3 linked regions of the Rattus norvegicus genome follow. The protein of the gene in region 3 purifies or fractionates together with the protein of the main gene of each other region. This does not show direct contact. Links are inferred from orthologs where the notes say so. Each region holds a gene or a part of one and is shown on either strand. Other genes may lie near its edges. The genes, in order: Lgals3bp, Cct3 and Tubg1.

The links.
Region 1: the proteins of Tubg1 (region 3) and Lgals3bp purify together in Homo sapiens (affinity purification with mass spectrometry; 3 studies listed by BioGRID and IntAct, counting the BioPlex papers as one, with this or other methods). This does not show direct contact. The link is inferred for Rattus norvegicus from reciprocal best matches to the Homo sapiens genes TUBG1 and LGALS3BP.
Region 2: the proteins of Tubg1 (region 3) and Cct3 purify together in Homo sapiens (affinity purification with mass spectrometry; 3 studies listed by BioGRID and IntAct, with this or other methods). This does not show direct contact. The link is inferred for Rattus norvegicus from reciprocal best matches to the Homo sapiens genes TUBG1 and CCT3.

What each region holds. Positions count from the first base shown.
Region 1 is NC_086028.1:104,123,921-104,130,488, forward strand, and holds the start of Lgals3bp (galectin-3-binding protein precursor), read right to left. Parts: upstream 3,929-6,568; 5' UTR 3,794-3,928; intron 2,086-3,793; 5' UTR 2,065-2,085; coding exon 2,013-2,064; intron 289-2,012; coding exon 97-288; intron 1-96.
Region 2 is NC_086020.1:176,060,581-176,067,148, reverse strand, and holds the start of Cct3 (T-complex protein 1 subunit gamma), read right to left. Parts: upstream 3,621-6,568; 5' UTR 3,511-3,620; coding exon 3,480-3,510; intron 1,461-3,479; coding exon 1,399-1,460; intron 1-1,398. Other genes in the region: Tsacc (TSSK6-activating co-chaperone protein), read left to right, coding at 5,342-5,378. UniProt on the Homo sapiens protein: Component of the chaperonin-containing T-complex (TRiC), a molecular chaperone complex that assists the folding of actin, tubulin and other proteins upon ATP hydrolysis.
Region 3 is NC_086028.1:86,554,317-86,560,884, reverse strand, and holds the end of Tubg1 (tubulin gamma-1 chain), read right to left. Parts: intron 5,006-6,568; coding exon 4,937-5,005; intron 4,114-4,936; coding exon 4,034-4,113; intron 3,390-4,033; coding exon 3,263-3,389; intron 3,070-3,262; coding exon 2,983-3,069; intron 2,876-2,982; coding exon 2,726-2,875; intron 2,294-2,725; coding exon 2,141-2,293; intron 2,063-2,140; coding exon 1,901-2,062; intron 1,539-1,900; coding exon 1,341-1,538; 3' UTR 1,152-1,340; downstream 1-1,151. UniProt on the Homo sapiens protein: Tubulin is the major constituent of microtubules, protein filaments consisting of alpha- and beta-tubulin heterodimers. Gamma-tubulin is a key component of the gamma-tubulin ring complex (gTuRC) which mediates microtubule nucleation.

The sequences.
Region 1 (6,568 bases), about 18 Mb from region 3:
TGGAGTAGGAACCGGACCTTTGGCGGGGACTGGGGCTGCTCACTGGGGCGCGGGAGGGGATGCCTGAGGAGCACTACTCAGGGACCTCAGCCACACCTGGCCCGAAGGCGGCTCTGCTCAGTGCTTGAGTAGCATTCTCATAGCCCAGGGCCCGGCAGACGACGTGGGCATCCAAAAGGTTCCAGAGGTTGTCGCACACTGTCCCCCACCGGCCTCTGTAGAAGATCTCCACGCGGCCCTCACTGGCTGAGGCCCCATTAACCAGGCGCATGTCTCCATCCTTTGCACCTGTCAGGAGAGTGGAGATTAGCTGGGAGGAGGGCTAGCCTGGTCTGATGCCCACTCCCCGTGTACTCAATGCTCTGTGTGCTCTCTCGTTGAGCAAAGGTCACCCCAAACAGGGTGGAGTGGCCTTCTGGAGATGCCTTGAACCACTTCAAGGGGCCCTCCCCGCACGTGCATTCGTGTGTGTGTGTGTGTGTGTGTGTGTGTGTGTGTAAGGTTACCCACTGAAGGGCTGGAGAGATGGCTCAGTGGTTAAGAGCTCCGACTGCTCTTCCAGAGGTCCTGAGTTCAGTTTCCAGCAACCACATGGTGGCTCACAACCATTTGTAATGGGATCAGAAACCTTCTTCTGGTGTGTCTGAAGACAGCTACAGTGTACTCACATACATAAAAACAAATAAAAAAAATCTTTAAAAAAAAAGGGGGGGGGCTGGAGAGATGGCTCAGAGGTTAAGAGCACTGACTGCTCTTCCAGAGGTCCTGAGTTCAATCCCCAGCAACCACATGGTGGCTCACAACCATCTGTAATGGAATCTGATGCCCTCTGCTGGTGTGTCTGAAGACAGCTACAGAGTACTTATATATAGTAAATAAAGAAATAAATCTTTAAAAAAAAAAAGGGGGGGGGTTGGGGATTTAGCTCAGTGGTAGAGCGCTTGCCTAGGAAGCATAAGGCCCTGGGTTCGGTCCCCAGCTCCGAAAAAAAAGAACCAAAAAAAAAAAAAAAAAGTTACCCACTGAAGAAGAGTGAAAACTCTGATGAGCCCACAGAGGCCATGGTCTATCTAGCTCTCATCTCTGGGTCTTTTTCTCCAAGAGGACACCTTGGCTCTCAGCCTACTGAGTGAACTTGGGGGGGGGGGGAGAGGCTCTTTCCTGGCTCTCTGAAACGCTGGTATGAAGGGGAAGGTGGGTCCTGGGTTCCTAGACACAGGCAGAGAGCAGATTAACCTCGGCTTACGATGGGTGATGTCTTGACACCCCAGTGCCACCTGTCTCATGGCCTCTGGACTGTCCCCACTCAGCAACAGGACATTGCCATGCTGCCTGCTCCCTCCAAAGTGTGGGGACGAGGGAGCTGTGGTGTGGGGTCCCATTGTAAGAGAGGAGCGGGGTGCACAGCGCTGATATCCCAACTCGCACATACAGTTGCTACCTCATCCCTACAGTGTCTGCCTAGAGGGGACAACACTGGACTAGAGACAGTCTGCCCTCAGGCACAGGTAGCCAAGGGAGTCCTGCTCCCTGCTCTCTGGGACTCCCGTCTCTGTCCATGCCGGCTGGGTGCTTGAATTGGGGTCACCCATGCTAGAGCGAGATACTCAGCTGAGGGTCCAGGATGGGCAAGGCTTTCAGACCCATGGTGCAGTTTGTAAACTGTTCCACAGGGACTCTCTGGCATTCTAGCCTGTGACCTGAGAGCTCAAACTCCAGGACAACACAGGCTGCACTCTCCCTCCTTGGCCCACTGATGAGGTGAAAAAAGATTCCTTGGTCTCTTCTCCAACACCTGCATTTCGGGGAGGGGGCAGGGCCCATACAGGGCCACCATTCAGAATGACTGAGGATCCACATGGCAGAGAATCCTAAGACATGGTGTCTTACAGGATGCCACCTGGCTTTTCTGCAAAGATGGGGAGGGGGTGTGTGTGTGACCCACACAGAACAAGGCACCAAGGCGCACGGTCTTGACTTCTGTTTTGGACCTTTCGCTGAGCAGGACTCACCTTGAGTCCCTGGAACCAGCAAGAACACAGAGAGGAGCCACAGAAGAGCCATTGCCTGACCTGGAAGCCCAACCTGCAGCAGAAGGAACAACAAAGTTAGACTGGCCACAGCTCTCCGGAGGAGACTGGTAGTTCCATGGTCCCCTGTCAAGTTTGTGGAGGACAGGATGGTGTTGTGGGTGGTCCCTCTTCCGTAAGGCCCAGATGGCCATGAGATGACCCTTATGCAGGCCTCTCTCTCACATGCTCTATGGGACAACCTTCAGGACAGTAAGTCTCCCCAGATGAGGCAGGTGGGTTGAGGGCTCCTGGCAACGAGAACCCAGGAAATAGACAAGAGGCTATCCCTCAACGGTTGGTCTTATCTTCAGGCAGCAGCCCCCTTCGGGGTGTGCCCCAAAGGGACAAGATATGCCAGTCTGGGAGGGTGTTGTGGATGAGGTTGGAGCAGGGAACTCTCAGGAGGAAGTGACAGAGACAGTTGCAGAGGTCATGGCGTGATCTGGGGATGAGTGGGAGATGGGTCAGGGTCAACTGCCAAGGTGCTGACACACAGGGACTCAATACTAAGACTCTCTCGCCTGTCTGTAGAATGGGCCCCACCCAGGCACTTTCTCTCGGGCCCTGCATGAAGGGGGCTGACCTAGAGAGCAAAGTGCAGCAGCCCTGGTAGACTCATTCTAGTCCCGAGGGCAGTGAGGTCGGGGCTGGTAGTGGACGGTGCTGTAGAGCTCTGTCTCCTGGGCAGGAACTCAGCAACGAATCTCAAACTGTTTTGTTACTCAGACCAGGGGCCCAGAGACCAGCAGTAGAGGTTATCCCAGGATCAGTAGAAACACCAGGATTGTCCTCCACCCCAGACATTCTGTACCAGAGCAGCACGAGCAAGACCTCAGTGATCCAGGGCTCTTGTAGCCATCTTGGCAAGGGTGAAGATAGTCTAAGACAAACTCGTGCCCTTCCCTTCGGTTATCGTACTACTGAAGCAAGGACAGAACTGGAATTCCCCCTGGGAGTCTCATGCTGAAAGGAGAAAGCTGTTGCCTGGTGACAGCCGGAGGGGAAGCTTGTCTCCAGGAAATATCAGCCCAGTCTGGGATTTACAGCCCAGGCATAGGGCAGACCAGTTAGCTATACATTCCTCTATGTAAACCTCATGTTAATATCCCCTATAGACTCTGGGATGTTAATGGGGGAAGGCCACTGGACTCTTCTCAGTGTGGCTGGCGGAGTCTGGCTACCAGGGGAGCATTCTCACTATAGGCTCTGACCGCTGAACTCTATAACTCGATGATGGGTGGGAAGCTTGATCCTTAGTGCTGTGCACCCAGTCTTATCCCAAGGAGGTCTGGGTTCCGGGAAACCTGAGTCCCAGGCAAAGTGCCCTGGGTGCCCACCCCCTCCATTTACTATAAGCTGTGGTTATAGGGTTTGTCCATGCTGGGTCAGGAACTTTAGGCCTTGGGAACATTGCAGGGTATGTGGACATTTTTGTCCACTGGATGACAGGGGCTGTTTCTGCCTGACTCCTTTGTGTGGGAACTTGGGATGTGCCTGCCTATGCTGGCTCATTCAGTACCACTGTGTAGGTCTGTTTAGTCCTGGGTGAGAATCCACAGACCCAGGAGAAGGCCGAGGGATGAACTGTACCCCACTCACCCCTTCAGTTGTTCTTTCAGTGAACATCCTGCCTAACTGTTTAGAGGCTCTGCAGGTCTAGGTGTTCCTGTGTTCTGCGACCCCCCCCCCCAGAAATTATGCTGTGTAGAGCGGGGACTCACCTGGGAGCAAGAGACAGGTAGTCAGTCACCTGTCCAGGCAGCTGCTGCAGATGGTCCTGGAGCCTCCTTGCTGGCTGCAGCTCGAAGCTTTCTGTAGACTGTTCAGCTGAGAAAGGCCCCACCATGTGGTTTTCCTCAGCCTCTTCCCCGGAAATGCTTTATAAACCTAGTCTAGTTTCGATTTCCAGAAAACACATGACGGAGGCTGCCTCTGGGGTTGGCTGCAGACAAGGCTAATAGCCCTCTGCTTGCTGCTCTGCAGGGAGGATGGCAAGCACCCAAGTGCCCTGTGCTGAGCTGATAAAACAACAATGTTGCGGCTGAACAGATACATGTCCAGGCTGGCCAGGCAGGCACCCTGGGAGGGCAGCTTGGAAGGGGATGGAACAGATATATCCCCTTGCTGGCCTGGTAAGCACAGTGGGGGGCAACTTGTCCAGGCTGGCCAGGCAGGCACCCCGGTGGATGGTGAGAAGATGCTGCAAATGGGCCGGGGAGCAGAGGCTCAGGTCACACAGTGTCTGTGAACATGGATGTGGGCTGCACAATCCTTTCCTGGATCTGGGGAGGCTGGCTGTGCTCACTGCACAAACCTTCCGTGCTCAGAGCATGCTCGGAGGGAAGGTATGTGGGCCACAGAGTGGTCCTGAGGGATGGGAATCGAGATAGAAAACAGGAAGCAGGGCTAGGAGCTAGGGGTGGCTTGCTGGTTAAGAGCATTGCCTACTCTCTCGGGGGATCTGAGTTCAATTCCTGGCACCCATGTTGGTTGGCTTGGAACAGGCTTTAAGTGAACTCCATGGGATCAGACTTTGTAGGCACACACATACACCCAAGTGTGCTCATGCATGCACACACGCAGTGCACATACGTTTAAAATTTAAATCTTAAGAGGTTTCTTTAATACCTGTGGTGGCAAACACCTTCAACTGGGAGGCAGAGGTAGGTGGATCTTTGATAGTTAGAAACTAGTCTGGTTTGCGTTGTAAGTTCTAGGTTAGTCAGAGCTACGCAAAGAAAGCCTGCCTCGAAGGAAGAAAAGGAGAAAAACAAACAAACAAAAAACCCAAAACAACAACAACAACAACAAAACTAACAACAACAGAGATGGTAACCTGCAGCCAGCCAATCTTGACACTGTGAGTTTGATCCCTGGAACTCACTGCAGGAGAAAACTGACTCCTGTAAGCTGTCTTCTGATCTCTGTATGTCTACCATAGCCTGTATGTGCATGCACGTGGACACACACAGTAAATAAATGTGAAAAATTATATAAAATTCAAAGAGGACTGGGAGGTTGCTCAGTGGTTAGGAACACTTGTTCTTCTTGCAAAGAACCCAGGTTCCCTTAGGAACTCCCACATGGTTGCACACAATCACCATAACTCCAGTTCTAAGGGATACAACGCCCTCTCCTGATCTCCATGGTCACCAGGCACATATGTGGTGCACACACATCCATGCAGACAAAACTTCCAAATATATAAAATACATTAAAATTAACCTTATGATAGGTTTATACAGTGACCTAAATCCCAACAGCTCCCTGTGGCTCCCCCAGCTGCCAGCCCCATAAGGTTTACTACCTCAAGACACTCAACTCTTGAATGCTATTCAAAACGTCCGACACAAATGACCCAGGAGGCAAAGTCAGGTGACTTCAAATTGGTATAAAATCACCCTGTTCCTTTCTGATGTATGGTTCAGGAATTTACCTGCTGTGTTTCTGTCCTTGGTGTCTACTTTTTTTTTTTTTAAGGATTCATTTATTTTATGTGTGTGAGCATTTTGCCTGCAGGCAAACACACCATGTACATGTGTGCCATACACCTGTGCGTATGGTGGCCAGGGTATCAGGTTTCCTGGAGTTGGAGTTACAGACGGTTGTGAGCCGCCATGTGGGTGCTGGGAATTATACCTGGCTTCTGTGCAAGGAGTATTCCTTATCAGTTGAGCCATCTCTCCAGCACCACCTCCCAAGTGTCCTTTATTAAAACTTCTACATCAATTCTGGTCTGGCAAATCCTTTTATCCTGTGCTTTGAGCTCTTTGTCCCAGGTATGACACCAGGGAGGGAGGCCCCGAGGTCCTCTAAACCCAGATAGTAACTTGTGAGTGGATACACTGGGGTTCCATACACACCTGACTCGATAATGCGATCTCCCTCCCAATGGCCCCAGGGACCCTTTAGGGTTCAGACCACCACAGGCTCTGCCTGGCTTACACCCATTCCCCTTCCTCCACAAAGACAGACAGACAAACAAACAAACAAACAAACAAACAAACAAACAAAAAAGCAAAAGACCGGGTCTTGGTTTCTACTCGGGGAGTCCTCAGTCAGTGCAGCTCAACCTGGGCTGGCCATCTGGTGTTCAAAAGGCCCAGGGAGTTCTGGGGTAAAGCCCTTTTGGGTTCAGCAAAAGGCTTTTGGCCTCAGAGTTCAGGGGTTGGACACTCAAGGACTGGCTCCCTTGGATGTGAAGTTTCCATTGGCTATGGGGTCATTCAGTCCTGGGAAAACCACGCAGAGAGCTACAGGCAGGGATCAGCCTGACTCTGCAGATGTCCAAGCTTGTTGAACCGGGGGCTAACTTGTGGCTTCTGTCACCTTTGGCTGAGAGTGTGAGAGGGAGAGTGGAGGTGTACCCTGGAGAAGAGAAGTGGGGGGGACAGTCAGCCTACCTGGACTGCCTGCCTGGTGGCTCCAGGAATCAACAAGTCTCTTTGGTGCCTCCATCCTGGGGCAGGCCCATTAATCACCTGGAGCCCGGGACC
Region 2 (6,568 bases), on a different chromosome or scaffold from region 3:
ACAGAACCATTACTTTGTTTTAAACAGGGTTTTACTAGGTAGCTCTGACTGGCTTTGAACGTAAGAGACAGCCCTGTTTCTGATTCTCAATGAAAGGATTAAAGGCGTGCTCCACCATGCCCAGTGCATAGCCAGTGTTTTGAAGATTTATTTTTTACAGGTACGAGTCTTTTGCTCAAATACATGTTTGTGCTCCAGATGGATGCCTGAAGAGCACGTTGGATGCCCTAGAACTGGAGTTACAGGAAGTTGTGAGCTACCACCTGGGTTTAGAGAATCAAATCTATGTCTTCTGCAAGAGTAGCAAGTGCTTGGGGCTGAGAGATAGCTCAACAATTAAGAGTATTGACTGCTCTACCAGAGGTCCTGAGTTCAATTCCCAGCAACCACATGGTGGCTCACAAGCATCTGTAATGGGATTTGATGCCCTCTTCTGGTGTGTCTGAAGATAACAATTGTGTGTACTCATACATAAAGTAAATTAGAAATTGTTAAAAAAAAAAAAAAGCCATCTTTCCAGCCAGAGTCAGTGTTTAACAAGAATGCTAACTATTTTAGACATGATAAATGAACTTTCAAAAAGAGTCTTCAGGGGCTGGAGAGATGGCTCAGTGGTTAAGAGCACTGACTGCTTTCAGAGGTCCTGAGTTCAATTCCCAGCAACCACATGGTGGCTCACAACCATCAATAATGAGATCTGATGCCTTCTTCTGGTGTGTCTGAAGACAGCTACAGTGTACTTACATATAAATAAATAAATAAATAAATCTTAAAAAAAAAAAAAAAGTCTTCCGTTTTAGTGTCCTAAGAGTCCAGCCTTAATATTTTTACTGACAGTGGTCTCTAAGCCACATGAAATCAAGTCTTTCAATCATTCACTTAAAAATATATTTATGAGTTTGAAAGTGTGCTGGCACATGATTTTAGTTCCAGGATTTGGGAGACAAAGGCAAGCAGATCTGAGTCCAAAGATAGTCTGGCGTGCATAGAAAATTCTAGGCAACCCCGACAAGATCCTGTCTCCAAAGAGGGGACAGGGTTCTTTCAGAGGACCTAGGCTCTTTCAGAAGTCCTACCACTCACATAGTAACTTTCATAACAGCCTGGAACTCCAGTTCCAGGGGGATCTGACAACCTCTTCTAGGCTTCTTGTGCATCAGGCATGCACATGGTACACGTACACATACTTGGAGGCAAAACACTCAAACAATGAATAAATAAGTAAATCTTTAAAAACCTCCCTTCCTGTATCACTGTCAGGGAAACATGCGTTTTCCTCTGTTCAACTGTACAGAACCATAGGAAGTTTGCTATTACAAATAATGAAGATTTGTAATATTTGAAATATTAGGGAGTCATCCAGAATGAACTGCTATTATCACTTAAAACATGTGTTACCTTTGCAGCATTGATATTTCCAGATTGAACTTTTCTTCCAGACTCACGCTTTGTATTCTGACCTAAAACAGACAAAAACACGTGTCAATAGCCCAGTGTACACAATCATTTTATTTCCTAACTTAAAGAAAATGTTTACATTTTTTAATGTATATATGTACATATCAAGTGTACAATGCGTAGCACAACTTTGGAGGTCAGAAGACAACTTTCAGGACTAAATTCTCTTTCTATCATATAAGTGCCAGGGATTAAACTTGGTCATCTAAGTCAGGTATGGTGGCGCATGTCTCTGACCCCAGCACTTATAAGGCAGAGTCAGGAGGATCTCTGTGACTTGGAAGCCAGCCTGGTTTACATAGAGAACCTGTCTCAAACGAAACAAACAAACCATAATAAAAAGACCTCCAGTTATTATTAGGCTTGGTGCTTTTTTTCTTTTTAAACCTGCTTAGGGATCCTACCACCAACCTTATTTATCAAGTTTTGAAAACAAAAATACAAAGGTTTCAGTGTATAACCAGCAGTTACAATTACAATGGTTTAAGACTGGGCATGGTAGCATATGCCTTTAATCTGAGCACTGGAGATGCAGATGAATTTCTGAACCAACTCAACTCGGTCTATAAAGTTCCAGGCCAGTCAGAGTTACAAAGTGAGATCCTGTCTCAAAAAGCACCTTTAGGGGCTGGAGAGATGGCCCTGTAGTTAAAAGCATTGGAAGCTCTTGCAGAGAACTCTGGTTCTATTTCAGCATCAACATGGAAGCTCACAACCATCTATAACTACACTTCCAGGGGATCTGATGTCCTCTTCTGGTGTCTGCAGACACTGACATACATGCAGGCAAAAGACACACAGAATGAAGAGAAGCCCCAGTACATTAAGAGATAACCTGAAATGCTTTAACTTCAGAATCTTGACCAATACTTTCCTTGTATGCATGCTCACACACTTCCAGCGATTCATATCTTTAGGTCCCTGAATGGGGCTCAGCAGGATGGTGATTTTTCCCAGAGTGCACATCCCTTACAACCTCCGTGGGATTAGGAGCTACAGAGTCTCAAAGATTAGTGACCAAGAAAGTGTGCTTGTGAGGCTGGAAAGATGGTTCAGCTTCAATTCCCAGCCCCCCATGGTGGTCACAACAGCCCATAACTCCAGTTCCAGGGGATGTTGATGCCTGGAGAGCCAGCCTGTAGGTAAACTTTCTCAGGAGACTAGAGCAGAAAACGATGACTCCTTATGCCTCTGGTCTGCTAATTAAAACCCCATAGATTCGTTCATCTAAGTGTTGGTAGGAGGGGTAGTGTCACTGAACCCCTTTGTCTCTCCTCTCAGTGTGGCCATACTACATGTTTTTCTCTTTAGTATGTCTTAACTTTGAACCCGGTTTACTGAATTATTCTCAATAGCTCGGGTAACTGACAAGGAACTGGTGCTCTTTACTGAGATGAGAGGCGTTAGTTAAAGAAAACAGGAGAGGAATCTGGGAGAACTTAACTGGCTGGTGGGAAAGATCACATTCAAGATCGGGAACGCAAGGAATGTCATTTCAGAACAAGGGTTGCTGAATGACCGCTACTGAAAAGATGCCATTTCCGATCTGCCGGTAAAGGAAGCTTTACTTACCAACTTAACTCATAATTCTTTGGAGAAGTACTACGGTCTCCTAAACACTGTTATTAAAGCATAAATCAAGCGAGTTGCCGTAAGTCACGCCTCTCCTAAGGGATGGACCGAGGATACGAAGCAAGGCCTAACGTTAAGAACCACTATTACTAACTACCAGACGGAAATCATGCTGTAAAGGACACGGGGGCGTGGAGGGTGGCGACTAAAGAACGGAACACAAATGGGATAAAGCACACGTTAAAAACTAGCGACTCCGAGAGCAGAAAGTCATTTTGTCAAAAGAGGGCGACAGGAGAAGGCAGGAGGAGAAAAACTAAGGAAGGAGGTTCTAAGGCGAAAAGACGACTGGAAAGCACGAGGGCCGAGTCATGGCGGGACGGGGCCGGGAAACACTGGCAAGCATGGGGAGAGAGGGGCGGAGGGAGCCATCGCTTCCCTGAACTCACTGAGCACGAGCACTGGACGGTGGCCCATCATGGCGGCACGACGAAGAGCCGACTTTCCAGAGCTGGGGGAAATCGGCAGAACCTTCTGGAGAGAAGAGCAGCGAAGGAAACGCTGCCTCCTCAGGACTGACACAGAAACATGCTAACCTCTGAAGTACCGCCAATCACTAAGCCCATTTCATTGATTGGCATAAACATAGGCCAATCGTAGGTATTAGCCCCGCCCTCTACGCAAGAAAGGCACGGCAAGCTAGCTAGAGAGAGCATGATGGGTGGGGGGACGCAAGCGCTTGCGCACTAGCGTGGCCGCTCCCGGCCGCGTGCGGGCAGAATGTCTGCGCAAGCGCCAAGGCACGGGCGGTTAGCTGGCTCGCTACAGCGCTTGAGTGCCCGCTAGAGGGTGGGTGCTGGGGTTGAGGCTTTGGATTAATGCTGTAGGTGAGATCATGAAGCTCTATTTTGTCCATCGGTTCTCGTCCGACCGTGAAGGCCAAGAAAGGCATAATAGTTCGCCACTTTTTATTCCAGCTTTAGCAGTAGGGAGGAGCACAGGAGCCGGAAATACCGGTAGTTGCCAGAAATATTGAGGCGGTGTAGAAGTGGAGGTTTTCCTATGAGGCGGGGCCGCAACGGCTCCCCCACCCCACCCCGGAGCATGCTGGGAGTTGTGGTTTATTCTAGACGCGCTGCTTTTCTTTAAAAGAAAAGAAAAGAAAAATCTTGGTGTTTTAGATGTACCTATTTTTTTTTTTATTTTTATGTGTATGGTGGGTTTGCCTATGCGTATGTAGGTGCACCACTTGCGAGAGGAGATCAGGAGGGAGTCTGATCCTCTGGAACTGGAATTGATGATTGTGAACCACCTCGTGGGACCACGTGGGTGCTAGGAAGTGAACCCATGGCCTCTGTGGGACCATCTAGTGCTCTTAACTGTTGAGCTATCTCTCCTGTCCTAATGTTTTACGTCTTAGAAAAATTACTTTGAATCTTAAGGCAATAAGACGTAAAGGAGAAGCTCTTACATTTACCCCGAATATCCTAAGTCGTGTTTCTTGTAGAATTTTGAGCCTTTTCCCCCCACTGCATAGCCTGATCACTGGTTAGTGACCAAGGAAAGGGAGCTGTAGTTTTTTAAATTACCATATTATCTTACTAGAGTTCCAAGGCTGGCCCAAGACTCGTGTAGCCCAGGCGGGTCGCAAACTGGAGACAGCCCTCTTGCCAGATCACTCCATATAGGAAAAAACAAAAAACAAGGCTAGTAATTAAACATTTAGAAGACTTGAAGGGTCATGACATGTTTGTGGTAGATTTAAAGTTCGTATTTGGTTTGTTTTGTCTTCAGTGAAAAGGCACTAACAAATAACTCTGCCGAAGGGAATTGGAGAAAAATGGACTATTTCAGAGTAGTTGTTTGCCTGGTGTGGTAGCACACTCCTGTAATGAACTCCAGAGGCTAAGTCAAGAGGATAGCGATTTCAACCCCTTCAGTCGTCCCCTTTCCCCGCCCCCCATCAGTGAGCAGCCAGGAGGAAAGGCTCAGTGGGTTAAGAGGATATATTGCTCTTGCAGAGAACCTCAGCTCAGTCCCCTGAACTGATGTCCAGCTGCTCACAGCCACCTCTAACTCGAGGGAGATCTCCTCATACGTGAACATATACACATAATTAAAAATCAAAAGAATTAAATTTAAAAACAGACACCTCTATGAGATGGTATACACTGTTACACTTCTGCCTCCCAACATTAGAGCAGCTCTGGCCGGTTCGGATCTTCGGGGGAGTGCTCAGGAAACAAAGCCCTGTCGTGTGACCCTGTGACCCTGTTATTCTTCCTCAGGCACCACACCTGTTGCTGTTGAGATGGAGCAGCACACCAGTAATCCTACTAAGGAAGAAGGTGTGTCACGACCCCTGCGTCCCCTTCCTCAGAAGCCAGCCTTCCTGATTCACTCAGTGTTTGCAGAAATGGCTGGCTTTGCCCACCACTTGGTTACTTGGAAAGCAGTTGTGGGATTTCTTTGGGTAAAGGAGACAGGTTTAACTTTGCTGGCCATGGGACTCACTAGCCTCAAACTTGAGACAGCCCTCTTGCCAGAGCATCCACAGCCCAAGGATTATAGGTATGGCCTACTGCTAAGGGAGCTGGAAAAAAATGGATAGCTTTTCTTTTTCCTTTTCTTTCTTTCTTTCTTTCTTTTTTTTTTTTTAAATAGTTGTTATATAGACCAGTATGGCCTCAAATTTAAAATAGTCCTGCCACAGCCTGCCCATCTGCTGAGTTGACAGGCATGTACTACCTACCACATCTGACTTTGATGAGGTTTTTTTTTTTTTAAGATTTATTTATTTATTATATATGAGTACACTGTAGCTGTCTTCAGATACACCAGAAGAGGGCATCGGATCTCTTTACAGATGGTTGTGAGCCACCATGTGGTTGCTGGGAATTGAACTCATGACCTCTGGAAGAGCAGTCAGTGCTTTTCACTGCTGAACCATCTCTCCAGCCCCCCCCCCTTTTTTTTTAATTCTTTTTTTTGGAGCTGGGGACCGAACCCAGGGCCTTGTGCTTGCTAGGCAAGTGCTCTACCACTGAGCTAAATCCCCAACCCCTGATGAGTTATTTTTCATTCAATTTCATTCAATGATGAGCATAGCATTGCTGTCTAGAGACCCTGGTTTAATTCTAGCACTGCCATGTGCCAATTGTGGAATCCTGACCAAATTTTATCAACATGGGATTCCTCAAGTACAATGCTGCTAATACTGCCTACTACCTAGGACCATTGTAAAAGATATGTCGGGGCACCGCAGAGGTGGCTCAGTGGTTAAAATCCTTGCTATGTATACATGAGGATCTGCATGTGGATCTTAACGTCATATAAAAAGCCAGATGTGGGGGCATATGTCTGTATCCCCAGTTCTTTTTTTTTTTTTTTTTTTTTGGTTCTTTTTTTCGGAGCTGGGGACTGAACCCAGGGCCTTGCGCTTCCTAGGTAAGCGCTCTACCACTGAGCTAAATCCCCAACCCCAGGCTTGTTTTCTTTTATCACTTTGTTTTTTAGATTTATTATCCATACAAGACTC
Region 3 (6,568 bases):
GCTGTGTTTCTCTGGGTAGCCCTGACGGTCCTGGAACTCACTCTGTAGACCAGACTGGCTTCCAAGTCCGCCTAACTCTCCCTCCTAAGTGCTGGGTTCGAAGGCATGCACCACCCACCGCCACCCAGGACTCTAAGGGTTTAAGAGCCACAAAATCACTGTTTGTCTGTGATCTTCCTCCCACTGGCCTTTTAAATAAGTGGAATTTGTAAAAATGGAGGATACTGGGGTGAGAGCTCAGAGGTTAAACACACTGGGCACTCTTCCAGATGGCTTGAGTTCTGTTCTCAGCACCAAGACTCACCATCCACAACTAGTCTAGTTCCAGGGGATCTGGCACCCTCTTCTGGCTTCTGCCGGTACTACATGTACATGGTACACACAAACATGTAGATAAAACACCCATATATCAAAAATAAATTTACAAAAAAAATGGGGTGGTGAGATGGCTTGGCAGGCAGAGTGGCTTGCCCTTGAGTCTGACGACCTAAGTTCTGTACCCTGGACGCACACGGTGGATGAGAAATTTCTCCCAAGTTATTTTCTGACTTCCACACTTACCCCAAGGCTTATACATACTCATAATTACATCCAAAAGGACTGAAAGGTAATAAAAACTTTACATAAATGAAGACCAGTTGAGAACAGAAATGGAACCAGTTTTGACTCTGCTTGTGTAGGCACTGGACACGGTCTCCTGATGTTCCCTAGACTCCAGTCAAGGCTCGCTGGGACTGGCTCTTCAGCACTGGTCTGCTGGCCTGCGCTTGGAAGGCACAAAGGCTGACTGCCCTGGTTAGGGGCTCCGGGTAGGTAGTGTGGTGGCCCCAGGCGTGTCTTTGCAAACAGGACACTCCGGTGTGGAAACGTGCAAGTGGAGGAGTGTTCCTCTGGTCCAGTGTGACGGAACTGAGAGCAGAGGAGGTTGGATGGAGAGAAAGATCTTATCTGTGGTTCCTTTTATTCTGGAAGGAATTCCAGCAGGGTCAAGAGCCATCTGTGTCTTCCACAATTAGGCCAAAGGCAAAGCTAGAGGCGGGCGGCTTGCTGTCCAGAGTTGAAGACGTTGGGAGTGCAGAAAGGAAGCGTCAGTGACACAGAAACAGGTTCCTTCAGCCCCTGTTCCCAAGTGTGAATTCAGAGACCAGTGACTCGGTTTACATCCAGTGCTTTATTAAAGATAAATACTCTCAAAGAAGTAAACCCGCCCCTAAGCCAACAGACAGTGCATGTGTATGCGAGTGATTGATGAGGTCCCTGATCTGTGCTCTGAGGGGTAGTCAGCCAGGCAGGGCCTGGGCTAACCGGTAAGGCAGATGAGGGTCCCTGTCTCGGGCGACTCATTGCTCCTGGGTGCCCCAGGAGATGTAGTCTGGCCGTGTGGCCGCATGGTACTCGTCAATCAGCTGCTGCACAATCTCCCTGGAGGTGTCCATCTCGTCAAAATTGTCCTTGAAGATGTCCTCCTTGCGGAACTGCTCCATGAAGGCCTCCCGTTTCCTCAGCTTGTCAAACTGGCGACAGGTCCTTTCAAAAAGCTTAGGGCACAGAGATTGGGGGTGGTCACAAAGAAATCAGGAAACAGTACAGCCTAGAGGGTCAGGGAACCAAGGTATGGTTATTCTCTAGTCAGATGCTAGGAGCAGAGGTGGAAGGAACGGAGACAGTGGGTAGAGCAGAGGCAGCTCGTACGGTTGGAGAGGTGAGCTTCAGAAGGGCACCCAGCACAGGACACAGAACTAGGGACAGACAGGGTGGGGACTAAGGACATAGGGAATGGAGCAGAGTGGCCAAAGACCAGGAGCTGGGGTGTGGCTCAGAGTGGGGAGAGCTACCTCCCATTCCCGAAGCCCTGGGTTTGACTCCCGGTAACACAGGGACAACAGGAGACTGTGCTCACCGAGGAGATACTGGTGTGGTTGGCCATCATGAGCCCGCTGACCCGGTGGGCTGAGGGCAGGTAGGGAGACTTCCTTGACAGGGCCACCTGGATGCTGGCCGGGCCCCAGGGGATAAAGTTGGCCAACTTCCTCTCCCGGATCCTCTGCAGGCTCTTGTGGACCTTGGGTGGGCAGAGAGGTGGTGGTGGCTTCTTCTCCATCCTGTGGTCCCCAGGCTAGGGTGAAGGGGCCTCCCTTACCTGGGTGGGGTCCACCTCTCCCTGGATGATGTTGAGGATGGCGATGTAGCAGTGGTTGGTCTGACGATCCCGACCTGTGGACACCATCACGTTCTTGGGCTGTAGCAGTCTCCTCATGACATCCAGGACTGTTGTCTTCCTCACACTGGCCACCTGAGGGAACGGGGATTCACAGGGACCCGGGCAGCAGTCAGGGAGCAACTCAGAGAGGCATGGACAGAGGAGAAGGGTCAACTCTGTCCCCATCAGCTGGCAGGAGGTGTGGCCTCTGGGGACTGTCTTTAGATCAGGTCTGTGCTGAGTCTCTGCCATGGGATTAGGATCGATCAATTGATCGATCATGGCTCTCAGCTCACCAATCCCATGCCCTTGAGCAATGAGCAGGAGACCCCATTGGGCAGCACCCCTGCAGGAGCCAAACAAAGGTAGTAGAACACGGAGGCAGGGCTGCAAGCTGGTGGCAGTGTCAGGCCCTGAGTATAGAACCTGGGAGGTGGGTAGAGAAGGGCTGCAAAGAGCGGGTTTGTGTGGGAGAGTATGGAAAAGGGAAAGGCCTCAGTGCTGGGACACTGGGGGAGCTCTTACTGACTGGTCCGTGGTGAGGGGGGTATAGCCAGTCATGAGGAAGTGTAGTCGAGGGGTGGGAATGAGTGAGGCGATGAGGCCGATGAGGTCGTTGTTCATGTATCCGGGGTAGCGCAGGGTGGTGGTGCTGGCTGACATGATGGTGGACACCTGGGAGCAGGAGATACTGTGTCATGGGGCTTGATGGAGGTGGAGCGTCCCTCCTCTGATGACTCTCTCGCAGACAGAGGGCTCTCATTCCAGGAGTGGGGGCTCACCAGCTGGTTGATCTGGGAGAAGGATGGGTTCTGGATGTGCAGGCGGTCTGTGGCGATCAGGTTCAGGGCCGTGTTGTCCAGCACCACCTAGAAGAGATAGCAAAGGGTTGAAGATTTATAAGGGCAAGAACACCGCAAGCTTGGCCTGAGTCTAGCCTTGAGCCTTATGGTCGGAAACACTCACTCCAAAGGGACCTTCTCAGGCTTATGGCACAAGAGAGCTCAAAACGAAGATGAGCAGACAGGGGGATGGGAGCCGGAACAAGAATCCAGGCCTCACCACACAGTCCGCGTTCTGGGTCAGCCTCTTTAACGTGAGGAGGGAGTTGTAGGGCTGGACCACCACGTCACTCATCTCGTCCTGGTTGGGGAACACGGAGTACGTCTGCACTAGTTTTTTGGGGTACCTGGTGGGGTTGAGAGGAGAGGGCAACATTAGAGATTTTGTGAACATCAACCTTCTCAACGGGTGGGTCTAGGAGCATTTTTCTGTGAATCGGAAAAATAGAATTGCGCCAAAAGCAGCAGAACAGGAGGTCGTAGTTTTTTTTTTTTTTTTTGAAGAATTATTTATTTATCTATGTATACTGTAGCTGTATATTGTACACTGTAGCTGTCTTCAGACACAGCAGAAGAGGGCATCAGATCTCATTACAGATGGTTGTGAGCCACCATGTGGTTGCTGGGATTTGAACTCAGGACCTCTGGAAGAGCAGGCAGTGCTCTTAACCACTGAGCCATCTCTCTAGCCCTGAGGTTGCAGTTTTTGAAAGGATAAAACCCCAAAAAGGGCAAGGGAAGAGACATTGTAAAATCCTATGCTCCAAACCTGGACACATCCCTTGGCCATTCAAAGCTGGGCCTACATGCTGGGCTCTGAGCTCTGCAAATTCTATTGGGTTTTTGCCTTGCACCTTCAGTTTCCTCCCAGTCTGAGGATTCGAATGGAAAGGCTACAGCACATGGGGAGCTATGTCTGCTGGGCCCCAAGTGCCTTAGGGAACAAAGAGAAAGGACCCATCTTCACCTAGCCCCACAAACATAGGCTTACCTGTCATTTAGCCGTTCCAAGAGGTAGGAGCCCAAGCCAGAGCCTGTCCCCCCAGCAATGGAGTGACACAGTACAAATCCCTGTGTAAAAAAGCGGCTTATAAGCATTTTGGTGTCTGTCTGGTGACAGGATCTAGTTTAAAAAGTTTAAGCTTATTTTTATTTCCCGTGCCTGCCTGCATGTATGTATATGCACACATATGTGTGCATACATGTGTGTGCCTGGTGCCTGTGGAGGTTAGAAGAGGGCATCAGGGGGTTGGGGATTTAGCTCAGCGGTAGAGCGCTTGCCTAGCGAGCGCAAGGCCCTGGGTTTGGTCCCCAGCTCTGATAAAAAGAAAAGAAAAAGAAGAGGGCATCAGATCTCCTGGAAGTGGAGTTATAGATGATCGTAAACCACCATGCTGGGTGCCGGGAACTAAACCCAGGTGCTTTGCAAGAGCAGTTAGTGCTTGTAACCACAGTAGCCATCGCTCTAGCCCTAATTTCCAACTAGACACATCCTGAATTGTGTTGGACTCTTGTCTTCCCAAGTCCCCTCACTGCCTAGGAGACTGTCTTCTCTTTAATAAGGCTTGGTGGCTTCTGTGAAATGCAACGATGAATGAGTTGGTCTTGTACCTAACAGGTAGCTTTTAAAAAATTGTTCTAATTAGTGTGTGTGTGTGTGTGTATGTGTGTGTGTGCACGCACGCCACTGTATGTGTGCAGAGTCAGAGCACAACTTTTTGGAATCAGTTCTCTTTTTCTACCATGGGTCTTACGGACCACACTTGGGTTGTCAAGCTTGAATGCAAGCATCGTCACCTGCTCAGCCATCTCAACGGCCCAGAGCAGGGGATTTCTAAATGGTGTTGCCAAGTCTCTACATGTCCACCTCCACTGACATTCCTGGGACACTCACCTCTAGGCTGTCACTGCCATCTGCCTCCCGATCAATGATGTCAAAAATGTCCTCGTGGATTTTTTCTCCCTGGACAGATATGGAAGAGGGTGAGGTGGGACAGGAATTGACCTTGACCTCAGTGTACCCACCATTGATTATTTATACACACACACACACACACACACGCATATGTATATGAGTACTCTATATGTATGCCTATATGACAAGAGACAGCACCACTCAGAAGAGGGCATCAGATCCCATTACAGATGGTTGTAAGAAACCATGTGGTTGCTAGGAATTGAACTCAGGACCTCTGTGCTCTAAACTGCTGAGCTGTCTGTCCAGCCCTCTGCCCTTGAGTCTTACATGCATCATAGCTGCCTTGCTTTGCACTGAGAGGTACTACAACAGTGGTTACAGGCAAGTAATTTACAACCCAACCAAGCTGATCTGTTCACACTCAGGTTTGAACTGCTGGAGCCCGGGTAGGACCTTGCTTATGCTAGCAAGGGCTCTACTTTCTTTCTCTCTCTCTCTCTCTCTCTCTCTCTCTCTCTTTTTTTTTTTTTGGGAGACAGAGTTTCATGTAGCCAAGGCTGGCATCTAATTCTCTGTTTAGCTGAGGATAACCCTCACATACTGGCTCTTCTGCTTCACCTCCAGTAAGTATCAGGCTGCCCAGTTTTTTTTTTTTTTTTTTTTTTTGTTCTTTTTTTCGGAGCTGGGGACCGAACCCAGGGCCTTGCGCTTCCTAGGCAAGCGCTCTACCACTGAGCTAAATCCCCAGCCCCCAGGCTGCCCAGTTTTATGCAGTGTTAAGGACTGAAGCCGCGGCTTCATACATCCTAGAAAAGCATTCTTTCTACCAATTGAAGTCACCTAGTCATGTGACTTCAGGAAGAGGGATCTATTTCAGTTTCCTCATTTATAAAATAAAGGTAAACAGAGGTCCACACTCCATCATGTAATATTCATGGTGCCAGCTATTTTTAGAAATCAGGGATTGGGGATTTAGCTCAGTGGTAGAGCGTTTGCCTAGCAAGCGCAAGGCCCTGGGTTTGGTCCCCAGCTCCGAAAAAAAGAAAAAAGAAAAAAAAAAAAAAGAAATCAAAATACTTCTGGTTCCGAAAGGTAGCTTTGTATATACAAATGTAAACTGCATATCAGCTGGGCAGTGATGGTGCACACTTTAATCTCAGCATCTGGGAGGCAGAGGCAGGTGGATCTTTGTGTGCTTGGGGTCAGCCTGGCCTACACAGTGAGTTCCAGGACAGCCAGGGCTACGCAGAGAAACCCTCTCAAAATAAAGAAATAAATATTCGGATTTAACAAAAAGACCACGTGAAGGCTGGGGATGTGATGTCTAGCTCAGCAGTGTAAGTTTGTCTAGTGTGTGATGTTCAACACATTCCTAGAAGCTACAAAATAAACAATACTACCCATACAACGGTGGAGGTCTGAGATGTGCTATCAGATATGCTAATATTTCTGCAGTGAGACGTCTGATGACAGTGCATTGACTAGAAACATCAATGTAGCTTTCCCTATTGATTTTTGGTTTTGCTAAGCGAAGTCTGAAATATCTTTGGTTTCAGGTTTTTTTGAGTCTGAAAAAGTAGATAAAATATAAACTCACAGCGCCTACAT